Linked DNA regions of Caenorhabditis elegans. The protein of the gene in region 1 purifies or fractionates together with the protein of each later gene. This does not show direct contact. Each region holds a gene or a part of one and is shown in the gene's direction. Other genes may lie near its edges. The genes, in order: unc-101, apg-1 and F53F1.2.

Region 1 (12,617 bases):
TTCTTGATGACTTAGATCCTTAGAATTCGGAAGCTTTGATTTCCAGGAAGCTTAGGCTTAGATTCAAGTGTCCCTAATCTTTGCTTCTAATATCCATTGGGCTAGATCCGTCTGAGATCCATAAAGGCTCTATATCCCGAGCTTTCAGCCTACCTCGACGCCAAGGAGCACTTGATGAACACTCCAATGCTCTCACCAGTCTACTTCATTCTCGGAGGATCCAAGAAGGACGAGGGATGCATCATCGCTAGAAGTCTCGACAAGACCGCACTTCTCACCGAGATGGCCACATCCCCACACGGATGGTACCTGTTGGAGACCAACTACGATCAGGGAACCGAGGTGAGAGATGCTAGAGTTGAAGGTGTAGAGTAGGTTCTGGTAGACGGATCTAGGGGCCCAACTTTTAGGAGAGGTCCTTCTCTAGGCCTAGGTCTAGTATTTTGAACCCAGCTTCTTTTTTTGAGTGGGTCGAACTCCTAGCTAGAAATTTTGATCAAAAATCTGTCAAAACCTATCCGGAATTAACTTATCCAACATTTCCCTCTTCCAGGACCTCTACCTTGACGACCGTGACACTCCGGGATTCCGTTGCATGGACAAGTTGACCCAGAAGAACGTCGGATTCGAGGGAATCTTCAACGTCTTGTCATCCCGCACCAACCTGAATAAGCTCACCACCTACACCGTCCTCATGTCCGTCGAGACTTCTCGCTTCGAGACCATCCTTCAATCCTGCCCGGGAGAATGCTATCCATGGTAGATTGGATTCAACATTCTCATATACGCAATGATTCATTGAAATAAACTTTCATTTTTGTAAATAAACTTTGATGGGTTCTTGTTTGAAAACGAAATTTTCATAAAATTTAAAAATTTTAGAGTTTTTTGGTTTTTTTTAAACAAAAATTAAAAATTTTAATTTTCCCGCTGGAAAAAAATAATGAGTTACGGTAGATTTAAAGGCGCATGCACCGAAACTTATCGAGGTTACCAAAGTTATTGCTTTTTGTGGAATTTTACATTTAAAAAATAATTGTTTGCTAATTTTATGGTTTTTCGTCGTTTTTTCGTTTCTAACCAAGTTTTCCTCCTGAAATTCAAATTTCGTCACAATTTTATTAAAAATGGGATACGGTAGATTTAAAGGCGCATGCCTAAATATTTCTTCTGAGTCTCGTAGCGATTGGTGGTTTTGTGGAATTTTCTACTAGAAAAATGAATTTAAACTGATTTTCCAGTATTTTTACACAAATTTTTTTTATTTCAATTCAATTTTCAAATTATTCAATTCAATTTTCTGGCGGAAATTGCCAGTTTTTGTCATTATTGTCCAATAAAATAAGGTACGGTAGTTTTAAAGGCGCACACCTAAATTTTGCTCCCTTGGTTTCAGTTTTGAATTTTTAAAATAGAATTTTAACCGATTTTCGTCGATTTTCACTTAATTTTTTGCACTTTTCCGACGAAAAAGTCGATTTTTTGCAAAATTCGGTATTTTTCTCCATTTTTTCGCGAAAAAACCGCTATAAACCAAATTCTCCACCTTTTCCATCCAATTAATCCGTCTCCAAGGCCTCCTGCACCGCTGCTGCCGCTCCGTCACTCGCCGAGAGAGTATATAAAGTGAAGAGACTGCAGACTGCAAGAGGGCGTGCCCGCCAGCAGCCGATATCCATCTTTGCACTCATTTTCTTCGATTTTCCTCCGTTTTCCGCTAATTTTCTCCGGATTTTCAGTATTTTCCAGTAGCTGCCACGTGGAATTTGACGATTTTAACGAGAAAATCGCAAAAAATCGTCGAAAATGGCGACTTCCGCCATGTTTATACTGGATTTGAAGGGAAAAGTGAGTTTTTTAGTGTTTTTCACGTCGGAAAATGCCAATTTTCGCATTTTTCAGACGATAATTTCTCGAAATTATCGCGGAGACATCGACATGACGGCAATCGATAAATTCATTCATTTACTCATGGAAAAAGAGGAAGAAGGCTCGGCAGCGCCCGTTTTGACCTATCAGGACACGAATTTCGTGTTTATCAAGCACACAAATATTTATTGTGGGTTTTTTGTGTGAAAAATTGAATTTAAAATCAAAAATTAGATAGAAAAATGGCAAAATTGAAGAAAATCCGTTGAAAATGACGCAATTGGTCAGAAATTTGAATTTTCAAGCCAAAAACCGATAAAAAGTGCAATTTTTTGTGGTTTTTAACATTTTCAAATTGAAAATAACGTTTTAAAACTAAAAAATGAGTTGAAAAACAGTGAAAAGTAACAAAATCCCTTGAAAATAACGGAAAACCCAAAAAAATTCAATTTTTTGATTTTAAAGTCAGAAAAATTCAAAAATTCCTTGATTTTCTGAATTCCCGAGTGCTAAAATTCAAAAAAAGCCGAATATTCGTAAAAATTGACTAAAATCAATAAAACTGCGATTTTCGTAATTTTTCCATTTTGTAGTTTATTTGAAATGTGGTAAAAATCTTAAAAAAGGAGCAAAATTGTTTCAAAAATCAAGCTTTTCTGCCAGAAAGTCGATAAATTGCGAAAAATTCGTCATTTTTCACACTTTTTCGACATATTTTCACGATTTTTGAGCCAGAATTGTAAATTTCCGGAAATTTTCCCGCCGACAGCGGGTGCAAGCGCGCTCCAATGATAAAACACCCATTTTTAACGGATTTTCAGTCATTTTCTCCAGAATTTCCAGTCAAAAATTCAAATTTCCCTCATTTCAGTGGTCTCAGCATGCCGTTCAAACGTCAACGTCACAATGATTTTGTCATTTTTGTACAAATGCGTCGAAGTTTTCTCCGAATATTTCAAAGATGTCGAAGAGGAGTCGGTTCGCGACAATTTTGTCGTTATCTATGAACTTTTGGACGAAATGATGGATTTCGGGTTCCCACAGACGACTGAGAGTCGAATTCTACAAGAGTAAGGAGGAAAAACGAGAAAAATTGAAAAAAATTACTCAAAAATTCGAATTTCCCGCACGAAAAATCGTTTCATTTTCTGCTGCAAATGCGCTCCAATGCGAAAATAGCCAAATATTAGCGTTGGAGCGCATTTGCAGCGCGCGATAGCAGTAATTTTAAATTTTGGGTCAAAATATGTATTTTCGACCCTAAAATTTTGAATTTCCAATCACAAATGCGCTCTAATGCAAAAATCGCAAAAAATTTACATTGGAGCGCATTTGCAGTGGCGGGGAATTCAAAAATTCAAATTTTCCTGTTCAAAATGTGTCTTTTGTCTCGAAAATTTGAATTTCTATTTGCAAACGCGCTCCACTGCGATTATTTGCACTGTAGCGCGGTTGCAGCTGGGAAATTTGAATTTTCATTGAAAATTTCAATTTTCTCGCATTCAACATGCAGCAAACGCGCTTCAATGCAAAAATCGCAAAAGTTCACATTGGAGCGCAATTTTCCTGTTCAAAATGTGTTTTTCGACTCGAAAATTTGAATTTTTGTGCAAAATTATCATCGATTTTTCCTCAATTTTCAATCAAAAAACCCCCCAATTTTTTGCAGATACATCACACAAGAAGGTCAAAAACTAATTTCGGCACCCCGTCCCCCGATGGCAGTGACAAATGCCGTCTCATGGCGCTCTGAAGGCATAAAATACCGAAAAAACGAGGTTTTCCTGGACGTAATCGAAAGTGTGAACATGTTGGCCAGCGCCAACGGTACCGTACTTCAATCGGAAATTGTTGGAAGCGTTAAAATGCGTGTCTATCTTACCGGAATGCCTGAACTTCGGCTGGGTCTTAACGATAAAGTACTTTTTGAGGGCAGTGGACGTGAGTTTTTTCGAATTTTATGCGAAAATTGAGATTTTTCAGGCAATTTTACCCTAAAATCGATAAAATTTTGTTAAAATTCAACAATTTTAAAGTTTTTAGCGTTTTTCAATTGCGCTCCAATGCGACTTTTTTTAAATTTTTGCAATGGAGCGCGTTTGCAACTTGAAATTCAAACTTCCTACCGCTACAATCGCGCCCCATTGATAATTCTCGATTTTCAGGCGGAAAAAGCAAATCTGTGGAACTGGAAGACGTGAAATTTCATCAATGTGTACGCCTGTCGCGTTTTGACACGGATCGAACGATCTCCTTCATACCGCCCGACGGAGCATTTGAGCTTATGAGCTATCGGTACGAAAAAAGTGGAGAAAATCGGATTTTTAACCGAAAAATCGAGTTTTTCGCATGATTTTGACGGAAATTCAGTGATGTGGCCTAGTTTTTTCGAAAAGTTAGGCCACCGACTTCTAATCTGTGGCCGAAGTTTGATTTTGTCTATTTTTTGGCTTAAATACTCGATTTGAAAGCTGAAAATGCCAGAAAATCCTAGGAAATGCCAATTTACCCACGTGGCCTAGGTTTTTTGGAAGTTAGGCCACCATAGCCTAGTTCGTGGCCGAGTTGTAATTTCGAGTTAATTTCTGCTTTTTTATGCCAAAAACGCTCGAAAAACAATTATAAGGTGTAGAAAATACAAATTTGCTTACGTGGCCTAGGGTTTTCCGGAAAAAACTAGGCCACCAAAGGCCGATTCCTGTTTTTGGGTTCTTTTAGGTCAAAAAACTCGTTATTCAGACGAAGAAGAGCTCAGTAACATGAAAAATTCTAGAAAAATACAAATTTGCATACGTGGCCTAGATTTTACAAGAAAGTTAGGCCACCACTGGCCAATTCATGGCCGAACTCTATTTTTTGGCTAAAAACTCGGCTTCTTTACTACAATAGCTCGATTTTTCTGTAAAAACACGTTAAAACTGTAACAAATGGAACACGTAACATGCAAATTTCCACTCGTGGCCTAGTTTCTCGCAAAAGTTAGGCCACCACTGATCAGTTCGTTGCCGAACTCTATTTTTTGCTGAAAACTGTGTGTCTGGATCAAAATTGTTGGTTTTTCTTAAAAAATAAGTCAAATACACCTGCGGCCTAGGTTTTCGGGTAGAAAATTAGGCCACACCTTAATTTTGAGTCTAAAAAGTTGATCACTAGGCCAAATTTAGCTTGAAAACACTGAAAAATAAAAAAAAAGCAAATTTACATGCGTGGCCTAGGTTTTCAGGTAAAAAGTCAGGCCATGCCTCAATTTTGTGTCGAAAAACTCGATTTTTACCTCAAAAAGCTCCAATTTTTCCTGAAAATTCTCGAAAAATACCGTTTTTTTTCAGATTAACAACCGTGGTGAAGCCGCTGATCTGGATCGAGACAAGCATCGAACGTCACAGTCACAGCCGTGTCTCGTTTATAATCAAAGCGAAATCACAATTCAAACGGCGCTCCACTGCTAATAACGTGGAAATCATTATTCCAGTCCCGTCGGACGCTGATTCACCGAAATTCAAGACAAGCATCGGTTCGGTGAAGTATACGCCCGAGCAATCGGCCTTCGTATGGACTATTAAGAATTTTCCCGGCGGAAAAGAGTACCTTTTGACCGCCCATCTATCTCTACCGTCTGTGATGAGTGAAGAGTCTGAAGGACGGCCGCCGATTAAAGTCAAATTTGAAATTCCGTATTTTACGACCAGCGGCATTCAGGTAGCCGAATTTTTCGCTTAAAATTCGACTTTTTAGCTCAAAAATTCAAATTTCCCACCGCCAAAAACTGCCCAATTTTGAGATTTATGTAATTTTTTCGCTCTAAAATGCTGAAAATTTCATTTAAACACATGATATTATTTAAAAATCCGACTTTTCAACTAGATTATTTGAATTTCCCGCCGACCGCATGTTGCAAGCGCGCTCCACGGATAAAACTGCTCAAAATGCAGATTTTTGTGATTTTTTTGCGTCAAGATGATGCAAATTTCTCGAAAAAACCTAACATTTGACTTTTTAACTCAAAAATTCAAATTTCCCGCCTACCACATATTGCAAGTGCGCTCCACGGAGAAAACGGCTCAAAATTGAGAATTATGTGATTTTTTGGTGTTTAAGGGTGATAAAATCTTCTAAAAAAAAGGCTTGAAAATTCAATTTTTCCCATAAATTCCACCAAGTAAACCCTAATTTTCAAATTTTCAGGTCCGTTATCTGAAAATCATCGAGAAAAGTGGATATCAAGCATTGCCGTGGGTCCGCTACATTACTCAAAATGGAGAATACGAGATGCGGATGAAATAATTCCTGAAAAAATTACCTAAATTCATATTTTATTGTATTTTATTCCCAATTTTACTCTTAATTTTTGGAATTTTTTATGAAAAATTGGTGAAAAACGACCGTGGCCGAGTTTTTGGAAAATTTGGAGGTCTAGGCCACCATGCTTCCAGTGGTGGCCTAACTTTTCGAAAATCCTAGGCCACGGCCCCGTTTTCCATCAATTTTTGCCTCTTTTAATGTCAAACATCTCCAATTTTTTCTGTGAAAATTTAATGCTCCGCGAGCTGCTCCCCGGCTCAAAACATGTGTTGTGTGTGCTCTTTCCCCTGATGACCCCGAACTCTATTTTTTTTTGTTCGAAAATTTTTATTTTATTTTTCCCACCGATTTATTTATTGATTTTTATCGCATAATTTAGATTTTTTCCAGAAAAACGAGTTTTTTCCCTTTCCCACCAGCATAATTTTCTCACCACATGGATCCTCATCAATTTTTCCCGTTTTCCTTTTTTCAGTAAATCAATAAATTTTCTGTCATAATTGTTTACAAAATGTTTTCCGGGGGCTAAAAATTCCATTTCAAAAATTGTCTAAATTTCCAGAAAAATCACTGAAAAAAATGCAAAAAATTGCCAGAAAATGCGCCGATTGTTGCCGATTTTTCGTCGAAATTTGCGAATTTCTGCATTTTCGCGTCAATGCACCACATCTGACGACACTTTGCGGACTTTTGCGCCAAATGCGTTGATGGATCGAATTGTGGACGATTTGAAGGTTCGGCAAAGCGGGAATTTGAAAATTTTGAAGATTTAGCATTGGGGCACACTTGCATCACGCTTTTATGGCGCGAAATTTGAATTTTTGCCCTAATTTTGGACTTTTTTTTGCATTGGAGCGCATTTGCATTAGCGGGAAATTCAAATTTCCAACTCTAATTCAATTTTTTCCAGAAAACTGGCACACATTTTGTGATTCCCGGTCGAGATTCCTTTGCCAGACAGGAATCGGCAAAAGTTTTCGAAAAACTTTTGGAAAATGGTAGGTTTTGCTAATTTTTTTTAGTGAAAAATTTGAAAAAACGAAAAATCGAGGGTTTTGAGCATTTTGACTCTGAAAAAACAAAAAAAACTAGATTTTGAAGCATTTTATCCGTGGAGCGCACTTGCAACATGTGGTCGGCGGGAAATTCAAATTTTTGAAATAAAACACGGAATTTAGGCGAATTTTATGTTTTTACAGACGATTTTCAAGCATTTTGAGTCTGAAAATTCGCAAAAATCCTGATTTTGGGCTGTTTTATCCATGGAGCGCACTTGCGCAATGTGGTTGGCGGGGATTTCAAATTCTTGAGTTAAACTATATTTTTGAGCGTTTTAACGTAGTTTTCTTTAATTTAAAGCCATCTTTCACCATAATAAATCAAATTTTCAGTGATTTTTCAGACATTTATCGATTTTTCCTCAAAAATCCCACAATTTTCAGGTGTAAAATGCGAATTTCTGCTGGATGCGAACACAAAAAACGCCACACTGTTCCGTACAATTGTCTCACAGCCTGGCGCCTCACTGGAGGTACGTTTGGATGGGGTACTGTAGAAAAACCAATTTATTTTTGGGAAAAAATTTTTAGAGAGAGGGGAGAAATTTCGCGGAAATTTTTGATAAGAACGGATAATTGAGATAAGATGAGAAATTTTTGTTTTTTGCAGATTTTGGAGACGATTGTCAATGTTGGATATGTCACTTTTGAGGATGCGATTCGACTTTTGGCACTGTAAGTCTTTTTTTTGGAAAAAATTCGGATATTTTGAGGAAAAAAAATGTATTTTTCAAAATTATTTACCTAAATTTCCATATGGCTTTTTAAGAATGTGAAATTCAAATTCAGCTCGCCGAGATCTTTTGAATGACCCCCATCATGCCTAGGGAGGGTCTCGCCGCGAAAGTTTTGGGTCTCGCAACGAAAACTTGAGTTTAAAGGGAAATAGGGCATGATTATACTTAAATGAAAGGTCTCGACGCGAAAAGCTCTAAAAATTAGGTTTCAAAATTTCTAGGCCAACAGGTAGAAAGTTAGGTCACGATTTTTTCAATTTTGGCCTTGCAACAAAAATTGGAGCTTAAAAAGCTGGCGCATAGGGCAACGTGGCAAATTCAAAAAATTAGGCTTTGGAATTTCTAGGCCACTGGGTGAAAAGTTAGGCCATCAAAAGCCCCCGGCTTTGGGGTGTCATGTAAAAATACCTTGAGATCCCAAATTTTTTTCGCTAAAGTTTCCCAAATTGGAGAAAAAGTTGGTCTCGTCAATATTTTTGATGATACGACGGACGACACGAAACGGGTAATTAATCATACTCTCAACTCGCCCTTCTCACACCTTTCCTACAGTCATTTTTTCACACTTTTATCTTTTGATTCGCTATGAAACTTTCACTTTTACACGCCCTGAACGCTGGAGATGCGACGACAACGAGGACGATAATCATCAAAAATCCATTCATTTTTCTCACACATTTTCGCTCGCGCGATTTTATTTGATTTTATGATTTTCACGTAATTTTTCTATCTCGCTTCATAATTTATTTATCAGTTACATTTTTGTGGATCTTGTGTCACAAAAGTTGGGCCTCCGAGAGAAAAGTCTGAAAAAAGTTATTCCGAAATAAACACTTGGTGCCAGAAGTTCCCATTTTGGTTTGATCTACCTAGATCTACAAAAAATGCGGGAGTAGAGACGCAGAGTTCTCGGCTGACTTAGCATGGTTAAGAACGTGCTGACGTCACATTTTTTTGGGGGAAATATTCCCACATTTTTTGTAGATCAAACCGTAATGGGACAGCCTGACACCACGAGCTCGGCCAACGGCAATCGGTTTTCAACGTATTTAACTGAAAATTCGCCATGAAATTAAGTGTTCTAAAAACTTCTATATCTCAAAAACTAGAGCTGCTATCGAAAAGTTGTCAACTAGCAATTTGTTCCGCGAATTATAAGGAACAACTTGTTAGTTGAAAATTTACAGCTAACTTCTAATCCTGATGAGTTATCACTAGTTTAAGACCGTCAACGTATCGGCACTCGCCTATCATGAAGTTTTCATGTAGCGATAACTTTTCAATGACTAATGTTAGTTAAAAATTGTCAACTGGAAAGTTATTCCTTATATTCTGAAGATTCGTTTTCCAGGTGACAACTTTTTGGTAGCACTTCTAGTTTTGGAGATACGGGAGTTTTTCGGTTTCGTCTAGAAAAACTTTTATATCTCAAAAACTAGAGCTGCTATCGAAAAGTTTTCAACTAACAATTTGGTCCTTAGAATATAAGGAACAATTTGTTAGTGGACGATTTTTACCTAACTTCTAATGCTGATGAGTTATGACTAGTTAAAGACCGCCAACTTTTGGCACTCGCAGGGTTCAAGCAGCGATAACTTATCAGCAGTTGGTGCTAGCTGGAATTTGTCAGCTAAACATTTTTACCTTATGTACTGAGGTTCATTTTTCAAGTTGGCAAATTTTTGATGGCTCTCATGGTTCCGAAGTTACGGCGATTTTTTTTTTTGAAATTCGTTTCGAAAGTTCAACTTCCGTGTAAACAGCCAAATCGAATTAAACTGTTAGCCAATCTTTCGTGCTTCCAGCTTCCCGGACGATCTTCTCCGTCACGGATCCCCCAGCATCACCAAAAACATTGAAGCTCTCTCCGCCTGTGGTATCTCGACTCCCCGCACAATTGGCTCGGCAATCAAGAAATGCCCACCGTTGCTCTTCGCCCGGGACCCCCAGGAAATGCAACGACTGGCTCACGAGATTGGTGGATTTTTCTCCAGAAAGCAGGTGAGTGCACAACTTTTAATCTAAAGATTATAGTTAATGGCTTCTTAATCTTCCGCTTATAGCCCTAATCCCCACTTTCTCCCCGAAAAATCTCAAAAATCATTAGCTTTTGCATATTTTCATTGCAAAATTCGAATTCCTGCGCTATTTTTACCCCTATAAGCGTTTTTCTCCAGCTTCAACTCGTTGTTTTGAATTTCTGTGCATTTTTGCGTGAGCCTCGCGGTGTTTGCGTACTTTTGGCGCTACCGTAACCCGACATTTTGAAAATCAACACCAGGAGCTTAGCGAATATTTATTTAGAGGTAGAATTGGCTGAAAAATCCGAATTTCTCAGTTAAAATTTGCGAAAATCAATAATTTTCCAAATTTTCAAAAAAAAAAAAAAATTTTTTTACAGGCCGGTCATCTCATCTCCCGTTGCCCGCAGATTTTGCTAAAGCCAATTGAAGAAATTGAGGAGAAGTATGAGTACATGTTTTATCAGGTAAGACTCCGCCCACTTTTTGAGTCTCGGCGAGAAAATTTTGGGTCTCACCACGAAAAGTGCATTTTAAAGACACAGTAGGGCATGATTATACTTAAATGAAAGGTCTCAACGCGATGATTTCAAAATTTTAGGTCTTGAAATTTCTAGGCCACCAGCTGAAAAGTTAGGCCACGTAAACCATTTTGGCTTAAAATCGTCGGTTTCCAACCATTTTTCGCTATTTTCAGATGGGCGTTGAAGCTGATGACGTGGCAGAATGCATCGGTTGGATCGATATTCTCACGTTTGACGAAATCGTTGATCGCCACAAATTCCTGCTGGCGACCGGAAAATTCGCGACCCCCGACGCGAAACGGCCCCAAATTCGCATCGAAAATCCGAAATTACAGAGCATTTTGGATAGTAAGGAGGAGGATTTTGCTGTTAAAGTGAGGAGATGAGAATTTGGAAAATTTGCTGAAAATTTGAGAATTTTTTGTGAAAAATTGGGGAAAATCAACGAGAAATAGGGTTTTTTGGGAGAAAAATCGATAATATATCGATTTTTTCCACAAATTTATTTTAGTTTTTTATCGATTTTTGTGTTAATTTTACTTAAAAATTCCGAGCGGAAAATAAAAAATTCCCCGAAAATGCCAATTTTTTCAGAAATTCAACATTTTCAGGTCGCCCGGGTCACAATGGAGGAATGGATCGTTTTTAAGGCATTGCGTGTCAAGGAAACTATTAATGAGAAAAAAGTAACATTTTTTAGTGTGAAAATAGGAAAAAAAATCAATAATTTTAAATTTTTCTTAAATCTGAAAAAAAAAAATTTTTTGGAAATTTTTTTTTCAAAATTTTCAAATTCCCTTTATAATTTGCGAAAAATTCACAATTTCATATTAGGCTCCCCGAGCTCTTCAAAATGACACCAAAAACGCCTATTTTAGGTCTCGCCGCGAAAGTTTTGGGTCTCGCCACGAAATGTGTCCTTTAAAGGAACAGTAGGACATGATTATACTTGAATTGAAGGTCTCGCCGCGATAAATTTGAAAAATTATGTTGCGAATTTTATAGGCCACCATGTAAAAAATTAGGCCAAGGAAAAAAATTTTTTTTAGGAAAGTTCAGAAATTTTAAATTTTTTGCAATTTCCAGGAACGAAAATTCGAACGAATCAAGCCGTCAAAACGAAAAGCCTACGAAAGACGGCACAAGGAGCGTCAGGAGCTCGCCGAGCACGTTTTTGACGTCTCCCATGGAAATTAGCACCCGGTTTTCACGGATTTCCCTTCGTTTTTTGTTAATTTTTATTGATTTTTCGATAGATTCCGGTAGTTTTTATACCTAGCAAAATTGATTTTTCAAGTTTTTCGGAGATTTTTGACTCTAGACGGTTGATTTTTCGAAAAATTCCCGAAAAATCGATAATTCATTTTTTTCCTTGTTATTTATTGATTTTTCCATTGATTTTTAAGTTTTCTTGTTGAAAAATTTTTTAATTTTTACAAAATTTTATCGATTTTCTCAATTTCCGACAGGTTTCCCACCCTGAATATTTTTTGAGAATTTTTCTTTATTTTTTTTCAGTATTTTCAGCTTTTTGAGGTATCAAAAGCCCAGGGAGATACTCGAAAAATGCACCGATAGCCGACGGACAACTTTCGAGAAATTATTGATTTTTAGGGTGAGTTATTGATTTTTTCGATTTTTAAGAATATTTTTTCGCGGAAATTCAAAATTTGTATCATTTTCGTACTCAGCTCGCCGAGACCTTTCGAATAACACCCATCAGGCCTAGGCTCCACCCCCTTTGGGTCTCGTCACGAAATTCCGGGTCTCGCCACGAAAATTTCAGTTCAAAGACGCATAGGACATTATTATACTCAAATGAAAGGTCTCGGCGCGAGGAATTCAAAAAAATTGAGTTTGAAATATTCTAGGCCATCATGTAAAATTATAGGCCACGAATTTGTAAATTTAATTTTAAAAAATATTTTACAGAAATGTTCACCAACCCTGCGGACGATCCGAGAAGCGGCGTACATTCGCAAAACTTTCACGATTTTTCGATTCCCTGGTTCGAAGAGCTGATGATGCACCAGCAACAGGTAAACTGATGGCCTAACTATACACTCGGCTGCCTAGGATTCCAAGAATCATGCCCTAAGCACCTTT
Region 2 (10,023 bases), 1.9 Mb from region 1:
AAGTCAAGTACATGAATATTATTAATTCTGAATTTCGAAGATTTGAAATGAATTCTCGCTTCTTTCATGATCCATACAAATTTCCTGATCCTGATCTCCAAGAAGCTTATCATCCGGATACACTCGTTCCCCGGAGCACAACACCAGCTTCTTCCCCTTCAAATCCACACAGGGAACACATCGGGATGCCACGTTTTGCACGTGAGCCGGCTGAAGCTCCTCACTATACTCGTGAAGATCATAGACGATGACGTCACCTCCAGAGGTTCCCGAGAATAGGAGACGTCCGGATTTGTCGATGGAGAATCGTGTACGGTGTGTGGCGGTCATGTCACGTTTTAGGATTTGTGTTAGCATGTTCATTCGGGTATCGAAGCAATGAATATCGCCCTGTAAAAATGAGATTTTTTTGAAAAAATATTTTTTTTTGGCGGGAATTCAAATTCTCACTCAATTTTTGTCAAAATTCCGAAGTTTCAGTCAATTTTGGCGGGAAATTCAAATTTTCTGCGAAAGAAACTTTTTTTTTTCGCGAAAAATTTGAATTTTCTGTGAAAAAAGTTTGGGCGGGAAATTTGATCTACGAAAAATGCGGGAGAAGAGACGCAGACATCTCAACTGATTTCACATGGTTAAGAGTGTGCTGACGTCACAAATTTTCTGGGAAAAATTCCCGCATTTTTTGTAGATCAAGAGACATTCTGAATTTCAGCTCTGGTTGAGGCTCAGACTAACTACTAGTTTTCTAGCCTCACGAAACTATGATCGAGGTTCAGGGAAATTCCGATTTTTTGAAAAAAATATTTTTGGCGGTAAATTCAAATTTTCTGAAAAACAATTTTTGGCGAGAAATTCAAATTTTCTGGGAAAACCCATTTTTGGCAGGAAATTCAAATTTTTGATGTAAAAAAATGTTTGGCGGAAATTCAAATTTTCAGTCAATTTTGGCGGGAAGTTTAAATTTTCTGAAAAAATATTTTTGGCGGTAAATTCAAATTTTCTGAAAAACATTTTTTGGCGGAAATTTAAATTTTTTGAAAAAATGTTTTTTGGCGGAATTTTAAGATTTTCTGAAAAAAAAAATTTGGCGGGAATTCGAATTTTCAGTCAATTTTGGCGGGAAATTCAAATTTTTTGGGAAAACCCAGTTTTGGGCGAGAAATTCAAATTTTCCGAGGGAAACAATTTTTGGCGGAAATTCAAATTTTCTAAAAAAAAAAAAACAATTTCGGCGGAAAATTAAAATTTTAATTTTTGATGAAATTTAAATTTTCTGAAAAAAAAACATTTTGGCGGAAAATTCAAAATTTCTGAGAGAACCAATTTGACGGGAATTCAAATTTTCTGAGATCATTTTCTGAGATCTGAGATTTGGCGGTAATTTAAAATATTTGAGAAATTTTCAGTCAATTTTCGTTACGAAAATTCAAATTTTTATTTTCCAAATTTACATTCAAATTTTTTTTTTCACCTTAAAACATTTTGAATAACTTTTTTCAAAAATTTTTAAAACAATATTCAATAACTAAAAATCGAACTTTTCTCTCCGAAGCATAAAGCTTTAATCCATCAGGAGAGAAATGTAGATTCGTGTATCCTTTCAGTGATCCTTCAATCGTCGATACAGCATTTCTCCATTTTAATGAATAAATTGCAACTAGAGATGAACTTCCACCAGCTGCAAATAGGTCAGGCATTGTTGGATGTGGAGTTATCGACATTGGAAGTCCCGTTGTTCCTGTGTTGTCTGGAAATTATATTATTGATTTTTTTAAAATTTTCTTGTATTTTAAAAGTTTCGTTATCACGTACTTATTATTACGGGAACACTGAATTCTGAGAATGCGTACGGGACAACACATTTGACGTGCAAATAGGTTTGGGGTTAGTGGTGGGATATGGTCGGGGTACTGTAGGAGTACTGTAGGAGTACTGTAGGATTACTGTAGTTTAGGAAGAATTGAGTTTTTGTCTTTTGAAGAGATATAGGTTTGCGGTTAGTGGTGGGATATGGTCGGGGTACTGTAGTAGTACTGTAGGAGTACTGTAAGAGTACTATAGGATTACTGTAGTTTGGGAAAAATTGACTTTCCGTCTTCGGAAGGGAAATTGGAAACTTCGGGAAAATTCTGAAATGTTCCAGAACCTTCTGGGAATCCTTCTGGGAATTTCTGGAAAATTCTAGAATGTTCCAGAACCTTCTGGAAAATTCTGAAAAGCTTTAGAACCTTCTGGAAAACTCTAGAATGTTCCAGAACTTTCTAGAAAAATCGAGAAAATTCTGGAATGTTCCAGAACTTTCTAGAAAAATCGAGAAAATTCTGGAGTGACCCTTCGTGGTGAAACCCATCGTGGCGAGACCCATCGAGGTGAGACCCATCGTGGTGAGACCCGTCGTGGTGAGACCCACCGTGGTAAGACCCAAAATTTTGGCGGGAAATTTAAATTTTCTGCGAAAAATGTTTTAGCGGGAAATTTAAATTTTCTGAAAAAAATATTTTGGAGGGAAATTTAAATTTTCTGAAAAAATATTTTGGAGGGAAATTTAAATTTTCTGTGAAAAATATTTTGGCGGGTAATTTAAATTTTCGGAGAAAAAAATTTTGGAGGGAAATTTAAATTTTCTGAGAAAAATATTTTGGCGGGAAATTTAAATTTTCTCAAAATTCTAAAATTCTGGAAATCTAGAATCTTCTAGAAATTTCGAAAAAATTCTGGAATGTTCCAGAACTTTCTAGAAAAATCGAGAAAATTCTGGAAGTGTATGTGTGTCAAATACTTTTAATGGTGCCAGTCGTTGCCCGCGCCGTAGGCGCGGTCAGCGGCTGGTTATATATATATATATATATATAACCATCATCGAGCCCGTAGATCGAGATAATCGCTACAGTACCTATTTAAAGAATTACTGTAGTTTTCGCTACGAGATATATAGATATGTCAAATATGTTGTCCCATACGCATTCTCAGAATTTTCAGTTTCTGTAATACTTACGTCACAATAATTTTTCAGGCAAAAAATTTGTAAAACTCTGGAAAATCCTATTTTAGATAAAATTTCTTTGCTCACAATCATTATCAAATGACTTGATATGTTGAATAGCGTCGCCTGTATATTCGATATCCCAGATTTGAAATTTGTTCTTGAATCCGCCTATCAATGAGCTTCCACTTTGTCCGATGCTCATCGCCGCAGTGATATTGTCCTGCAAATATATTGAATTTTTTGTTTAATTTGGTGAAAATACGGGAAATTTTGACTTAAAAATCACTAAAAACGGTTGAAAATCGATTTTGGGTGAGGCTTAGACTACAAACTACAACTTTTTTAGCCTCAACCAGAATTGGTTGAGGCTCAGAAAATTGTAGTTTGTAGTCTAACTTTTATTGATTGTTTTTTATATAAATTTTAAGGGAAATTTTTTTAAAATGTTAAATTCTGAAACTTATCAAATTTGCAGAAAAACGACTATACTACAAACTACAAAATGGTTGAGGCTCAAAAAGTTGTAGTTTGTAGTCTCGAAATGAATTAATAGGCGAAGATTTTAATTTTTCGTGGTTTTTCGAGTTTTTGGCACAAATTTGATTAAAAAGCAGCTTTAATTTGAAAAAAAGTGAAACATTTCTTTTAGAGACTACAAACTACAACTTTTTCAGCCTCACCCAATATTGGTTGAGGCTCAGAAAATTGTAGTTTGTAGTCTGAGCCTCAATCAATGCATTTTTGTTTAAAAAATTAGCAATTTTCAGTTATTTTTAGAGGTTTTTGGCACAAATTTGATTAAAAAACAGATTTTAATTGAAAAAAAAGTGAAAAATTACTTTTAAAGACTACAAACTACAACTATTTTTAGCCTCACCCAATATTGGTTGGGGCTCAGAAAATTGTAGTTTGTAGTCTCTGAGCCTCAACCAATTTTTTTTGGATTTTTATGTAAAAATGTCAATTTTTAAGCATTTTTTTTTCGTTTTTTTTTTTGCAAAAAAAAAAACCAACCCCAGCATCTTTTCCATTATAAGCACCGAGAATACTTCCATTTTCCGTATCAAATAGCTGAATTGGACGCAGTTTTGACGACGAGAACACCCCTTTTCCAGAGTTTTCCCAACAAGAATCCAGCACCAAATTTCCCGTATTATGCTTCCATATCACTTCTGGCTGCAATTTTTAGCGTTATTTTACAGAAATTTTGGAAGAAAAACCGACAGTTTCATCTATTTTATACATTCTTATAAATCTATCCTGTGAAGCCACAAGAGCCCGGTTTCCCTGTTCATTTTGAATGGAAAAGTGCACAAAATTATTATTTTCCGTTGATTTATAGCCGAATTGAGCGTTGTACGAGTTGAAAGTGGCTTTATCGCTGAAAATTTCAGATTTTTTGACTTAAAATTCGAATTTTCAGATACCAAAATGTATTTTTAAGATTTGTGGGGATTTCGGCGATTTCTACAGGTTCTTGAGCTTTTTTCTTGACTTCTTGGTCAATTTCCTGCATTCTCTGGAGTTTTCGCTTCTCTTTTCGATTTAATGGGCGGTTTTCTGGGATTTCTTCGGGAATTTCTTCTGAAGCAGCAGCCTCTGTGGTCGATAGCTCATCGATTTTCGACGCAAGATGGTCACTGCGGAGCTAAAAAGCAAGCGGTTTTTCTTTGGAAAACAAGTGAAATTTAATTACCGAAGACAAAAGCGACGCTATCCCGCATCTTTCAGCGCGGAGAGACGGTTTTTTCTCCTCCAATTCTTGTGAGGACGACGATTCTTCGGTGTTCATCTGGAAAAAATCGATTTTTTTGGCGAAAAGTTCAAGTTTCAGTGATTTTTAATCGAAAAATTGAAAAAAGAAAAAAAACAAAAATTAAATTCCCCCTACTACGGTCTGCAATCGGGTACCTCCACACCAGACCTCACGCGCAATTGCGGACTCGCCCCCTGCGTTGGATTGTAAAATGCAAAAAATCAATAAAATTGCAGTGTTGTCACTGATTTTTCAGCTTTTTCTAGTGGATTTTCGTGATTTTTTGATTAAAAAATTCATTTTTTCACTAATAAGCGTCGTTTATTTCACTTATTCCACTTACTTTCACTGCTGAGCTGTAAAAAAAACTAAAAAACTCCAAAAAAAACGTCAAAAAATGAGGAATTTTTGCAGGGTGAGGCTCCAAGGATGGCGACGGCTGTCGAGCTAGCCATTGAGAAGATCGATGAGTATAAGTCGAAGATTGGAAGGTTTGTAACATTAAAAAACTCAAATTTTTGCGAAATTTCCCCAGTAAATTCTATTTTTTCAGAACTCTCGGCACTCCGATGCGGCTTCGAGACCTAATTCGGCAGGTCAGAGCGGCACGAACGATGGCTGAAGAGCGAGCAGTGGTGGATAGAGAAAGTGCGAATATTCGAGAAAGCTTCCGAGACGATGATTCTCCGTGGAAATGTAGAAATATCGCGAAATTGCTCTATATTCATATGCTCGGCTACCCAGCGCATTTTGGACAGGTTATTGAACCGTTTTTCGCCGGAAATTAAATTATTTGTTATTCAGATGGAGTGCATGAAACTGGTGGCTCACCCCCGATTCACTGACAAACGAATTGGGTATCTTGGAGCTATGCTTCTTCTCGATGAACGATCGGAAGTTCATATGCTCGTCACTAATTCGCTTAAAAAGTTAGCAAAAACCCATGAAAATGAAAAAATCTTGTTTAAAAGCTTTTTTTCTGCGATTTTTCTCATCAAAATTTGATTTTTTGAAGAAAAAGCAATTTTTAAAGGATTTTCAATGCAAAAATGAGATTTTACAGTAAAAAATGCTATAGAAAACAAAAAAATCCGAAGAATTATTATTTTGGTTGAGGCGTAGACTACAAACTACAACTTTTTTAGCCTCAACCAGCAGCTTTGGGGAGGCTGACAAAAGTTGTAGTTTGTAGCCTAAGCCTCAACCAAGATTTTTAACTTGATTTTGCTCATTTTTAGTGATTTTTCATCAATTTTTACTATTTTTCGAGCTAAAATTAGTGAATTTGGTTCTAAAAACTGGAATTTTTGCTTTAAAATTCACGATTTTGCTAGAAATCCAAATATAAAACGATTTCTTCCAACTTTGGTGAGGCTGACAGAAAGTTGTAGTTTGTAGTCTTAGCCTCAACTAATATTTTGCTCATTTTCAATGTTTTTCATCGAATTTTCACTATTTTTCGACGAAATAATAGAGAAATTGGTTGTAAAATCCGGAAATTGAGCAAAAAAGGTGAAAATTTTGCTAAAAATCCAAATTTTAAACGATTTGTTTTCCAATTTGGTGAGGCTGACAGAAGTTGTAGTTTGTAGCCTGAGCCTCAACTAATATTTTGCTCATTTTCAATGTTTTTCATCGAATTTTCACTATTTTTCGATACAATAAAAGCAAAAAATCCCAATTTCCGCGGAAAACTCTATTTTTTAAAACTAAATTCTTCATTTCCAGCGACCTCACCTGTTCCACCCAATTCGTCAGCGGACTAGCTCTCTGCACTCTGGGCTCAATTTGCTCAGCGGAAATGTGTCGAGACCTGGCCAACGAGGTTGAGAAGATCATCAAGCAGAACAATGCGTATTTAAAGAAAAAAGCGGCGCTCTGTGCGTTCCGTATCGTTCGAAAAGTGCCGGAGCTGATGGAAGTCTTCATTCCATGTACCCGATCGCTTCTGGGAGAGAAAAATCACGGAGTTTTGATGGGCGCAACGACTTTGGTCACAGAAATGTGCGAGAAATCTCCGGATGTCTTGAATCATTTTAAGAAATTGGTGCCGAATTTGGTACGGATTCTAAAGAATCTTCTAATGAGTGGATATTCGCCGGAACACGACGTCACCGGCATCTCTGACCCGTTCCTTCAGGTCAAAATTCTGAGATTATTGAGAGTTTTGGGGAAGGATGACGTACGTGTCACTGAAGAGATGAATGATATTCTGGCGCAAGTGGCAACGAATACGGAAACGGCGAAAAATGTCGGAAACGCGATTCTCTATGAGACTGTACTCACGATTATGGAGATTAAGAGCGAGAGTGGCCTGCGCATTTTGGCTGTGAACATTCTTGGACGATTCCTTTTGAATACGGATAAGAATATTCGATATGTGGCGTTGAATACGCTTCTGAAGACTGTTCATGTTGATTATCAGGTTGGATTTTGTGGAAAAAAAAAAAAGGAAAAAATGGCGATTTTGGCTCAAAAATTGAGGTTTTGGCGGTGGGTTGAGGCTGAAAAAGTGTGTAGTTTGTAGTGTGAGAGCCTCAACTAAATTTATTTCATTTTATTTCTGTTGTTAATTTTAATAGAATTTTTTAAAAAATTATTCTGATGAGTTTTCAAAATGAAAATCGCATGTTTTAGTAAAAATTGTCGAGAAAAACAAGTTTTTCAACGAATTTTCGAATTTTGTAGCTTGGTTGAGGCTCACACACTACAAACTACACTTTTTCTAGCCTCAACCAAATTTGGGGAGGCTGTGGAGTTGTAGTTTGTATTGTGAGCCTCACTCAATTTCAGTTCATTTTTTGTTTATTTTAACAGAATTTTGAAAATTCAGTTTTCAACATGAAAATCGCCTAAAACTTGTCCGGAAAACCAAGTTTTTTGACAAATTTGCAGCTTGGTTGAGGCTCACGCACTACAAACTACACTTTTTCTAGCCTCAACCAGATTTGATGAGGCTGTGGAGTTGTAGTTTGTAGTGTGAGCCTCAACCAAATTTATTTTTAGTTTTCTATTCCGTTTTCGACGTGAAACTTAGCTTTTTAGTAAAATTTTGCCTAAAAAATCAGTTTTTCAATAAATTATTCCATTTTGCAGCTCAAACTGTGTAAATAATAATTGGTTGAGGCTTACACTACAAACTACACTTTTTCTAGCCTCAACCAAGTTTTTAGAGGCTGTGGAGTTGTAGTTTGTAGTGGGAGCCTCATTCAATTTCATTTTTTTCCGTTTTGAACGTGAAACTTAGCTTTTTTAGTACAATTTTCCCCCCAAAAAAACCCAGTTTTTCATAAAATTTCATATTTTGCAGGCCAAACTGTCCAAGTGATAATTGGTTGAGGCTCACGCACTGCAAACTACACTTTTTCTAGCCTCAACCAAGTTTGGGGAGGCTGAAGAAATGTGTAGTTTGTAGTGTGAGCCTCAACCAATTTCAGTTCATTTTCTGTTTATTTTATTAAAATTTTTCCGTTTAATACAAAATTTTCAATTTTATGATGAGTTTTCCACATGGAAATCACCTAATTTAATGAAAATTGTCCGGAAAATCAAGTTTTTCAACGAATTTTTGAATTTTGTAGCTTGATTGAGGCTCACGCACTACAAACTACACTTTTTCTAGCCTCAACCAGATTTGATGAGGCTGTGGAGTTGTAGTTTGTAGTGTGAGCCTCACTCAATTTTTTATATTAAGAATTTTTGGAAACTTTAAATTCCTTTTTTAAATTCAAATTTTACGTTTTCTATCGAGCTTTAACAATAAATTTTTTTTAGTTTATAGACTACAAACTACACATTTTATAGCCTCAACCATTTTTTAAAAAGAAATTTCTAATCAGTTTTAACCTAAAAATATATAATTTTCTCCCGAGTTTTTTTTGTTAATTTCAATGTTTTTTTCAGGCCGTACAACGTCACCGTAACGTAGTCGTTGAATGTCTCAAAGATCCGGATATTTCGATCAGAAAACGTGCAATGGAGCTCTGCTTTGCTCTGATGAACCGTACAAATATCGCAATAATGACGAAAGAAGTGCTCATTTTCCTCGAGACCGCCGACGCTGAATTCAAATCGGAATGTGCTTCACGAATGTATATTGCAACGGAAAGATATTCGCCGAATCATGAATGGCATTTGGATACGATGATTACTGTACTTAGATTGGTACGGTAGTTTTTTTGGATAAATTTCCTTGAAAAAATGGATAAAATTGGCGAAATTTGGCTCTAAAAGTCCAAAAAACTAGAAATCTCACGAAAAATCGAAGCAGACTACAAACTACAATATTTTGGGCCTCAACCAGAATTGGTTGAGGCTCAGAAAATTGTAGTTTGTAGTCTAACTTTTATTGATTGTCTTTTATATAAATTTTACGGGAAATTTTTTTTAAATGTTAAATTCCGAAACTTATCAAATTTGCAGAAAAACGACTATACTACAAACTACAAAATGGTTGAGGCTCAAAAAGTTGTAGTTTGTAGTCTCTCGAAATGAATTAATAGGCGAAAATTTTGATTTTTCGTGGTTTTTCGAGTTTTTAATTGTAAAAATGAGGAAAATTATCCGATATTGTAGAAAAAATCGAATAATTTTTAGATTTTCCTGACCTTTTTGAAATTAAAACTTCATATCCGAAAAATGAGAAAAAAATCAATTTTGGTTGAGGCTAGTGGCTACAAACTACAATTTTGCAAAGCTAGAATTACGGAAATTTGTCCCAAATCATTTTTTTTTTTGAATTAATTTTGAATTCTTCCCGCGCAAATTAAACACACAATACGTATTTTATGACTTTTTTCCTTTAAAAAATTGAAAAAAAATGCCGACATAAATTGGGTGAGGCTCACACTACAAACTACAAAAACGCTGAGCCTCAACCAATTTTTTTGTAAATTTTTAAATGCCGCATTTTTGTGTTTTTTTTTTTGCTTTCTTTAATAATATGTCTTTGAAATCAAAATAAATTTGTAAATCCCGAAAATTTAGAAAAAATTGCTGAAAACTCACATTTTTTGGCCGAAAAGCTATCTTTTTAATGATAAGAGTTGCGATTTTTCTCACACTACAAACTACAAAAACGCTGAGCCTCAACCTATTTTTTTTTCCAAATTTTTAAATAGCGCATTTTTGTGTTTTTTATTTTTTTTTCTTAAAGAATATGTCTTTGAAATTAAAATAAATTAGTAAGTACCCAAAATTTGGAGAAAAAATTCCTAAAAACACACATTTTTGGCCCAAAAACTACTTTTTTAGTGCTAGAAGCTTTGAAAATGCCAAAAGT
Region 3 (9,186 bases), on another chromosome or scaffold:
ACCAAATTGGATAAGTTTCAAGGAAGTTTTAGGAAAATTCAGATCTTTGTAGGAGATAGTGGGACATTTTATTTTCAGTGACACAGAGATAAAATTCAGTGAAAAGATTTGGTTGCAGAGAATCGGTTAGAAAATATACAAAAACAAAAATTTGGTGGCACCACTTTGAAATTTGTGGACGGAAATTCTTTTCAATTAGATGTTTCAATGCAAAAATTAATAAATGTATTATATATTTTCAATAATAAATGTATACTCTCTGGATAATGTCATGGTCGGTTTTCTACAAAAATCTAACTTGTTGCATTTTTCTTGAGATGACTCTGATGGTTTTGCTGTTTACAACTTTTTTGTAGCCTAAATCCCAGTTTTACCCAATTTTTGACAAAGTTTAGTCAACGTCTGATTCAAGTTAATACTTTTTGAGCCAAATTTGTGCAAAACACTGGAGCCAAATGCCAATCATATTTTCTCGATGTTTTATTCTGCCTACCGAATTCTACATTCAGTCTAAAAGTTGATCACATTTTTAAACTAAAAAATCAAATCAAAATCGTTCGATTGTAAACCCGGAATGAGAATTGCAAGAAGCAACAATCTGCGACGACGTATGGTGACTGATGGCGTCACATGACTTTGATAAAGTGAAAAAGCAGACAGTGAGAGGAGGCATTGAACCACGGAGAGCATGATTGATACAAAGTCCGAACACACGCATACTAGAGCAAAACGATGGATGTATGTGAGGGCTGTGTGTAGAGCACAAACCCTCAGGCAATGGCTCTGTGCTCTTGGTTCAAACTCTATTACAACGCCGGAAAACTGTTTCAGTGCGTAGTTTTATCACTGCGTCTCCACGTCAAGTACTATTTCTCGAGACTCTGAGTGTGTATATGTCGAGAGGGGGGAAACATCGAAGCAGATGGTGTAGTAGTGAACCCTCCTGTCGGGTTCGAAAAAGAACTATAACTGAACGGGAGGGAAGCGGGGGGTAGTAAAGTTGATTGGTACTCTGTCAGTGTCGGTATTGTTGGGTGTTGTAAATGGTGAAAGGATGGGTGAGTTTACAACTACACCCTCAAGACCACCATCAAGGTTAGGGTAAAGTAGGTTATGTAAACGTTTGAATTTATGTTACGCAAATGTTTTGTTGTAATGCAGATTTTGATGCGTCGACACTGGGGATGTCTTATGAGAAATTCAGAAAATCGGTTCGAGTTTTTCAAATCCTTATCACGAATTTGGAAAAAGTTGGATAAGTTGGTTTACAGCATTTTTATTTTCGATGTACGGATTTTCTGCGATTGCCAAAGTTTGGAATTTTGGTAATAAGATGTTCAACAATTTGGCTATAGAGTTCGTTTTTTTTACAAATGATAGACAGAAAGTTTGAAAAAATGTAGTTATTATTAATAGGTAGTTATGACTGTCATTAAAAATTATAACAATCTTGATATTTTGATATTTCTTATCAGCAATTCGAAAAATGATGAATAACTTGATAGTTTGGCATTTGCGCGAGTTTTAGAATTTTTGAAAATTGAATTGCCGCCCACTCATGATACAGATATCGTTTCAATATACTAATTTCGGAAAAACTTGATATTTCCCTTCAAAGGATCACAATATTTTTCTGAGTGGGTCTCACAACGATCTCAGCAACAATGGTTGTTAGAAGCTTCAAATTTTAAAATTGTTCATTCAAAATGAAGAATAAGAATGAAATTTCATATACTTACTTGTAGAGAGAAGGTCAGGAGTTACAATTAAACATGTATGTATAGCTTATGTAACTAATTTAAATAATTTTGTCTGAAACTCGACTTTTTACAACTTCCGCAATACGCCACGAATCGTTATCTTGATTACATGAATAGTTTGAAAATCAATCACACAGTTTAGATTGTGTGATCAATCACTTGTCATCGTCGTCTAATGACGGTGATGGATTCTGTTGAAATAGCCTACTAATTAAAAATGGTTCATTTCGAAAAAATAACAGTGGTTTTAAATGGGAAGGGATTATTAAAGATATGAACTATATTTTTGGAGAAATAATAACTGTAACTACTGATGTCAAAATTAGTATAAGAATGTAGAAAAGGAGAAATGGAATAGACATTGTCGACAATAAAACACAAGATTCAATAATTTCAATTGAATTTGTTTGAATATCAAAATGATAGCTAACAGAAAATCGTGTCCTAACATCCGTAATTTGCTCATCCAGGCTAGTTTCTGATCGTTTAGCACGTTGATTAAAAGAAACTTGTGTCTTTTGAGAAAAACCTGAAAACATTTAGAAATGTGTTTATTACGTTAGAGTTCTCGAAAATTTCAATCAAAGTTTTTTGTATATTACCGAATTTTCAAAATAGAACATCAGAAAAACACTTTTTAGGACGTCGAAGTAATGACTGGTGAAAACTGGGTTTTCCCTAAAACTGCAACAAAAATGTCACAGTTTCTGAATAGCTTTATTGTGATAGTTGGTAATTCCAACAACATACATATAAGGAGATTTAAAAAATGTCAAAAATGAATTTTTTTGCCAAATGTTCACTAAATTTTTCGAAATCATACCATATGGAGGTGGCCCAACAACGGGTGCTCCACCGCCTTCTACATCTTCACATATTGGTCTCACGCATTCCTGGTCTGGCTCTTTGACGGTAATTGATATCTGACACTGGAAGAAAAGAGCATCTCGATCAGCAAACTTATACACATGAGCTTCTTGCCCAGCGAGTAAGTTTCCCGGATACTCAAGGTTCGACAATAGAAACTTATCAATTGAGCACCCATTCGAGTCTATGAGAAATGAGGTTTCACCTCGTCCATCGTCAACAGAACACGTGTGAACTACCATGCAGAATGAGTCTTCTGAAAACAAACTAAGAATCGTTAGTCCCATGATTTGACTGGTTGCCTTAAATTTTATATTCTGTGTTCATTCATCCACGTATGCACGTTTATGCACAACCTGCTCCCGAAACGATCAATCTTATAAAATAATTACTTCTGCGAAAAATTGCGTGCGCATGTGAGGAGTACTGTAGTTTCCACACCTATCCTACAGTACACCTTGAAGCCGCACTTTGGTGGAATTATTTTATTTTTAGCTTAAGCTCTCACTCTCTTAATAAATATTAATTTATTTATTTATTTTTTTTTTTTTTATTTTTTTTTAAATCATACCTTTTATAAGAATTATCATACCTTTATCATTATCACACTTCCACTGATGATAAACCTGCTGACCTATTAAACCAAATTCTACAGGTTCACCGAACGGACCACCACTAAGGATCTTAAAGTTATACGTATACACGAAGCCAACCAGAAGAGATATTTTTAGTTTATGACGCACCTGATAAGTACAAGTTGGCATTGTCAAATTGACATTATAGCTTATTGTAGAGATTTCATCCACGGATATGTTGTTTGCAACAGTGACTTGGCTCTCCCGGTACAAGCACAACAAATTATAAGTTCTATCCACTTTTGTGATAAAATATGGCTGAAACAGAAAGCGATAAGGAAATATGTTTTATTATAAATAACTAACGTGAAATGAAATTGTGATTGTCGTTCGAACAGCAAGTCCCTTTGGATTCAATACTCGCTGTCTCAGTGCACCACATAATCCTATTTCAATTTCCAAGAAAGCTGAAAGTCTTCCAGTTCCTCTTGATGTACACACTTCTTCCGACGCAAAATCTTTAACAAAGATAACCCCAACAAATGGTTTTTCAGTTTTAATTTGAACTGATATAGTTCTCGAGTCACATTCAACTTGGACATCTCCTGAATATTTTGAAGCAGAGATAAATTTATTACTGAAAATAGTTACCGTATAAAGAATTTTGAATAGGAACAGGATTTACAGCCAGAGTAGCTAGGAGAAGCTGTAGGACAAGATGCATGTCTTCCAAATGACAATCATACTTTGATGATTCTGAGATCAAGAACCCTTTAGGAAAATAGTCCTCAAGTGTTCTTCTTATTTCTTTATTGTCCATATCTTAAACCGAGATATTAGATTGCAGAATAGGTTGTATCCAAGAATAGAGGGGAATTAATGGAGGAGCACTGTGAATAACCAGCTTTTATATTCCATAGAATTTTGGTTTCATGTTTATTGAAACCCTTTGTTTCAATATCAAACTGCTCCTGGAGGAATAATACTTTCCAACTTTTCCAGACATCTTTTCTTAAAAATTACCGTAATCAATTCCAACGATGCTCCGATATTTCGCAAGCGCGTGTTGTTTAGCCATTCCAAATAATCAACCAATTTTGTTTGTTTTTTGTTTTTTTTTTTAATTTATTTTATTGCTATTCGTTTTTTATTTGTTGTTTCATATATATATTAATTTTCCAAACTTGTCGTTAGTGTTTTGAATACCACAATACAATGAGGTTTTGCTATTTCCAACATTAATTCTCTGGCAAATCTCTGCGTCTCGCCCAATCCAAATTTTCGGTATTTTTTCGATGTAAAACAGAAAAGGAACTTTTAAAGTAAAATAATTTCGAATTCAAATAATGTATAGTTTTCTTTTCAAATTTTATTTTTATAATCCTCATGCTTATTGCATAATTCCAAACATCAGTTTCTCTGGCACCAATGAAACAAAATTCACAGATTATTTTTCTTAAAGAAAACTGTCCAAAGAACACTTTTACTTCTTTAAAAGTGAGGGAATAACTTTTGCTGTCCGCTCATTCCTGATGCGACTGACCTCGATTCAGGCCGCATCGACAAGTTGTCTCTTTCTCTAACCCCTTTGCATCTTTCTTTTTCTTGTACAATTCTTAGTCCACAGTCGGTATATGCCATTTTATCGTTCTAAATTAGAACTTCTAATCTTTCAAAACTTGCACTTTTTGCAATTTTCTCAGTGCTATATATTCAAATTCAGAGAAAAATGTCGGATTCGTTTGCCAATGTGCCAGGAGGATCACAAAAGCTCAACTCCGGATATAACATTCCATTCGTCGGATTCGGAACGTACAAAGTTACCGGAGAAAATGTTCCGCCAGCAATTGATGCAGCCCTCACTGCCGGTTATCGGATGTTTGACACGGCAAAGTATTATTTGAATGAAAAGGAATTAGGAGAAGCATTAAAGGTAAATTTTTATATTTTTATTTCAAAGATAAATTATGTTTACATTCTCTTTGTAATCAAATCTTCTTTATTCAAAATTTACAGATTCTCCTGCCTAAGCATGGATTATCTCGTTCTGATGTGTTCCTGACATCCAAATTCTTCCCAGAAAGCAAAAATTGTCGAGAAGCTTGCCGTGGATTTGTCGAAGAATCTCTACAATCTCTTCAAACCGACTATATCGATATGTATCTTGTTCACTATCCAAAACCGAATGACTCTGACAATGATGATGTGAATAACGCGGAATACCGGAAAATTGCATATGAAGTGCTGGAAGAGGCTAAAGGTTTGAAAATCAGAAATCTATTGGATTTTTCATTAATTTTATTATTTTAGCTGCTGGCAAAGTTCGTTCCATTGGAGTTTCAAACTATGAAATTGTGCATTTGGAAGAGCTCAAGACATACGCCAAGGTGCCGCCATGTGCTAACCAACTGGAGTATCATCCACATTTTGCAAGAATTCCACTTCAGAAGTACTGCAAGGAAAAAAACATTTTCTTCCAGGTTAGTTTCGATATTCTGGGGAAAACTCGTTTTATATAATCAATTTACAGGCTTTCTCCTCACTTGCAAGACACGAACCAAAGTTAATTGAAGATCCAGTCGTCGTTGAATTAGCTAAGAAGCACAATACATCAGTTCCTGTAAGTTTAATTAATTCTCAGACTGTATTCAAACAATTATACCTTTTTTCAGCTTGTACTTCTCGCGTGGGCTCTCCGCCAGAATGTTGGTATCGTACCGAAGTCGGTGACCCCATCAAGAATCGTAGAAAACTTCAAAGTAATCGATATTGCTCTGACTCCAGAAGATATTCAATCGTTAACAGCTCTTGATCGTGGGCAGCACTACATTCGTTGCACCGGATGGCTCGTCAAGTAAATGGCTTATCAATAATTGCAGTTTATTTCATAATCATTTTTCCCACATTGTGATATTTCCCTCTTTCTTGTGACTCTAACATGAAATTGAAACTTTTTAATTGTATGACGTCAGTTTTCCACTCTCGCAATATTCCGCTATAATATCTTTAGTTTCGTTTAGAAAATTTTTTAAAAAAATTATTTTCAGATGTCCATAAAGTTGAACACTGGTTACGATTGCCCACTGATCGGGCTCGGAACTTATAAAATTATTGGAGATCAGGTTCTCCCAGTTCTCGACGCTGCTCTTACAGCCGGATATCGACTGTTTGACACTGCAAAAGTTTATAATAATGAGAAAGAAATTGGAGACGCATTGGAAGTTTGTACTCAAGCGTGACGGAATATTTTTAAAAATTCAAGTTTAAGATCCTTCTTCCAAAGCATAATCTGAAGAGAGAAGATATTTTTATCACTACAAAAATGCATCCCAATACCGTAGAAAATGTGAAAAAGTTGGTGGATGAATCGTTGTCATTGTTGAAAACTAGGTAAATATACTTAGCTCCTGCTCCAATTTACAGAATAATATTTTATCGATTTTCAGCTACATCGATATGTATCTCATCCATTACCCGAAGTCATTTGACTATGGAGACCAGGATCCGATGAACAAGACTCTACGAATTGCCACGTGGAATGATCTCTGGGAGTGTAAGAATGCAGGAAAGATTCGATCTGTTGGAGTTTCCAGTTTTGAAATTCGCCATCTGGAAGAGCTTAAAGATCTCGGAAAGGTATGAGTTACAGGCTCGAAATTATTTTCTAAAATCCAGCATTTTTGTAGAACTTTCCTCCATGTTGCAATCAAGTTGAATATCATCCACACTTCACGCGTGAAGAACTCAAAAATTATTGCAAATCAGAAGGAATCTTTTTTCAAGTAATTTTTTCTTACTTTTGAAATAAGCGAAATACAAACATTTCTCAAACGTCTGTTAAGAAGCTTTAAAAAAATGCAAAAATCAGCCTCTGAGCCAATCTTTTGAATTTCGCCTGAGAATGGCAAATAAATTGAAAAAATGTGTCTCAAAATTTTTATTTTAAACAGAAAAACAATAGAACATAATTTCTCGTTTTTTATTGCTATTTATTATGATTAAAATCGAAAAAATCGACAAAGAAAATATTAATTTAATTAACTAATTGTCCGAGAGGAGTACACGGCCGAGAATCACAAAACTCATTCACGCGCGAAATTCAAATTAGATAATTGTGGGGTCAATTTTCAGCTCTTTGAAGCCCAATAACTGAGTTTTGAGAAATATTTTTCAAGTCATAGTCACAAAGCCACAATTTAAAAACACGTGGCAACATTTTGGTTTTTTTAATTTAAAAACATATATTATTCAGGCATTTTCCTCACTTGCCAGACACAATGAGACCTTGTTGTCCTCGGAAATTATTACAAGATTGGCAGAGAAGTATCATGTTCCAAAAACAGTGAGTCAATCATGGAAAAACACAATTTTAAATTGGATACATAATCTAGTAATTTAATTTCAGACGGTTCTCTTGTCTTGGGCGACGAGTCAAAAAGTTGGAATCATTCCAAAGTCCACCAATCCGGAAAGACTCGCTCAAAATTTGAAAACAGTTCTGCTGGAAGAGGAAGAAGTGAAGAAAATCTGCAACTTGAACCTAGACAAGCACTACGTTCGAACAACTGGATGGCTTGTATTGTAGTGTTAAATTCAATTCCTATTAGATTCCTTTGTTATATAAAATCGTTGTTCATGTTCAATTGTTTCTTGTCGTAATAGGGGAAAGCGTAAAGTCAAACCAAGATGAAGTTAGGAGTATATCTCTTATCACACCCCACAAAGCAATTTCCGTTTTGCAACAAATTCTTTCGATCATTCAAGGTTGAACCTATCATTTAATTGCAAAGAGGATAATGTTTATCTCTTGTGCAGATAAAACGAGACTAAAAGTTTAAATACACTTTCCCAATGGCATGGGAAAACCGTCTACAGAAACGGATATCGAGATCTTTCGATAGTGAGAATATTTCAAAGAATAACGAACAATCTTGCATGTTTTGAATAAAATAAACTGGATAAATCATTTGAACAATTAGAAGCAACCACTGATCAGATTTCTAAGAACTTTGGGAGGTGATAAGAGCTGAAAAGAGGTTCAAAAATACGGTTACTAGTCTCGACACGAATGAAAATTGTTATAGGAAGTGCGCTTCAAGGAGCACAGAGAAAACAACAGGGAGAAGGAAACTACCGTACCTTAGGGCGAGCACTCCTTTTTGCAGTCTTCATCAAAAAATTCCATCGTGTCGAGACGGTTTTCTATTTTTTTAAACTTGAAGAATAATACAAGTTATTATAAAACTTTAAACTTGAAAATTTAGAATTGAAGCTTTATAAGTCTATGGAATACTTTCCCAGGTTTCTCAGAATCCAGTACATCGTAGTCTAGATTCCAAAACAATACTGCCACATTTTAAAGTTCCCATATCAATCATCTATTTTCTCATGCAGATTCCATTCTTCAACGCTTTCTTCCACATAATTTATTTCATCACACCGATCACATCATCTTCAGAAGCTTCAGACATATTATGTATTGCGCCAGAACTTGTACCATTGCACTCATCTCGCCACATTGACCACCCAACACATAACATGCACTTTTTTCGATTTAATCACTTTTGCCTTCGATTGTTCGTAAGAGTCGTCAAGGGAAACGCTTGCGTAACGAAAACGTGTCTCTGATCTGGGTGCCCGTTGGCGCGCCACACAAAGCCAGAATTTGATGAATTATCGGCGACGATAAGCTTTCGCCGAAAAAATTACGTGTACAGGTGTCACTGACACTGTCTATGTTCTCTTCTGGAGGGCGGAGTCTTCAGAGTATTGTTTCAAAGTTTCGTGACTCTCCGTGGTATGCACACTGTCTCAAATACGTTCAGGTTTTGCCATTGGGAAATGAGTGAGTGTATAAAAGGTTCGAAAAAGGTTAGGAAAAGTATAGTCCTCTTTTGACTTTCAACATTTTCAACATGCAAAAGATTGTCATTTTCTTCGCTGCTATCGCTGTTTCCCAAGCTTTCCTTCTCCCATCCGGAGGA

The links.
Region 2: the proteins of unc-101 (region 1) and apg-1 fractionate together in Caenorhabditis elegans (co-fractionation; one large-scale study listed by BioGRID). This does not show direct contact.
Region 3: the proteins of unc-101 (region 1) and F53F1.2 fractionate together in Caenorhabditis elegans (co-fractionation; one large-scale study listed by BioGRID). This does not show direct contact.

Annotation. Positions count from the first base shown.
Region 1 is NC_003279.8:12,506,749-12,519,365, forward strand, and holds unc-101 (AP-1 complex subunit mu-1-I), read left to right. Parts: upstream 1-1,550; 5' UTR 1,551-1,806; coding exon 1,807-1,848; intron 1,849-1,902; coding exon 1,903-2,059; intron 2,060-2,740; coding exon 2,741-2,939; intron 2,940-3,538; coding exon 3,539-3,810; intron 3,811-4,034; coding exon 4,035-4,164; intron 4,165-5,198; coding exon 5,199-5,568; intron 5,569-6,054; coding exon 6,055-6,153; 3' UTR 6,154-6,672; downstream 6,673-12,617. Other genes in the region: asah-1 (Acid ceramidase subunit beta), read left to right, coding at 149-342, 554-763; mter-4 (Mitochondrial transcription termination factor family protein), read left to right, coding at 6,771-6,905, 7,082-7,169, 7,614-7,702, 7,840-7,904, 9,772-9,967, 10,368-10,454, 10,685-10,885, 11,123-11,197 and 1 more; K11D2.4 (C2H2-type domain-containing protein), read left to right, coding at 12,446-12,550. UniProt on the Caenorhabditis elegans protein: Component of the adaptor complexes which link clathrin to receptors in coated vesicles. Clathrin-associated protein complexes are believed to interact with the cytoplasmic tails of membrane proteins, leading to their selection and concentration.
Region 2 is NC_003279.8:14,400,872-14,410,894, forward strand, and holds the start of apg-1 (AP-1 complex subunit gamma), read left to right. Parts: upstream 1-5,156; 5' UTR 5,157-5,171; coding exon 5,172-5,233; intron 5,234-5,295; coding exon 5,296-5,500; intron 5,501-5,546; coding exon 5,547-5,671; intron 5,672-6,470; coding exon 6,471-7,167; intron 7,168-8,645; coding exon 8,646-8,906; intron 8,907-10,023. Other genes in the region: tcab-1 (WD_REPEATS_REGION domain-containing protein), read right to left, coding at 22-390, 1,539-1,747, 3,071-3,206, 4,001-4,162, 4,211-4,367, 4,414-4,634, 4,683-4,778.
Region 3 is NC_003283.11:13,401,993-13,411,178, forward strand, and holds F53F1.2 (NADP-dependent oxidoreductase domain-containing protein), read left to right. Parts: upstream 1-4,823; 5' UTR 4,824-4,931; coding exon 4,932-5,135; intron 5,136-5,218; coding exon 5,219-5,462; intron 5,463-5,512; coding exon 5,513-5,682; intron 5,683-5,732; coding exon 5,733-5,822; intron 5,823-5,864; exon of another isoform or gene 5,865-5,874; coding exon 5,875-6,060; 3' UTR 6,061-6,249; downstream 6,250-9,186. Other genes in the region: cutl-1 (ZP domain-containing protein), read right to left, coding at 2,039-2,289, 2,584-2,883, 3,220-3,310, 3,371-3,520, 3,569-3,807, 3,854-4,022; F53F1.3 (NADP-dependent oxidoreductase domain-containing protein), read left to right, coding at 6,250-6,423, 6,471-6,592, 6,649-6,838, 6,889-6,984, 7,455-7,544, 7,608-7,787; F53F1.4 (uncharacterized protein), read left to right, coding at 9,118-9,186.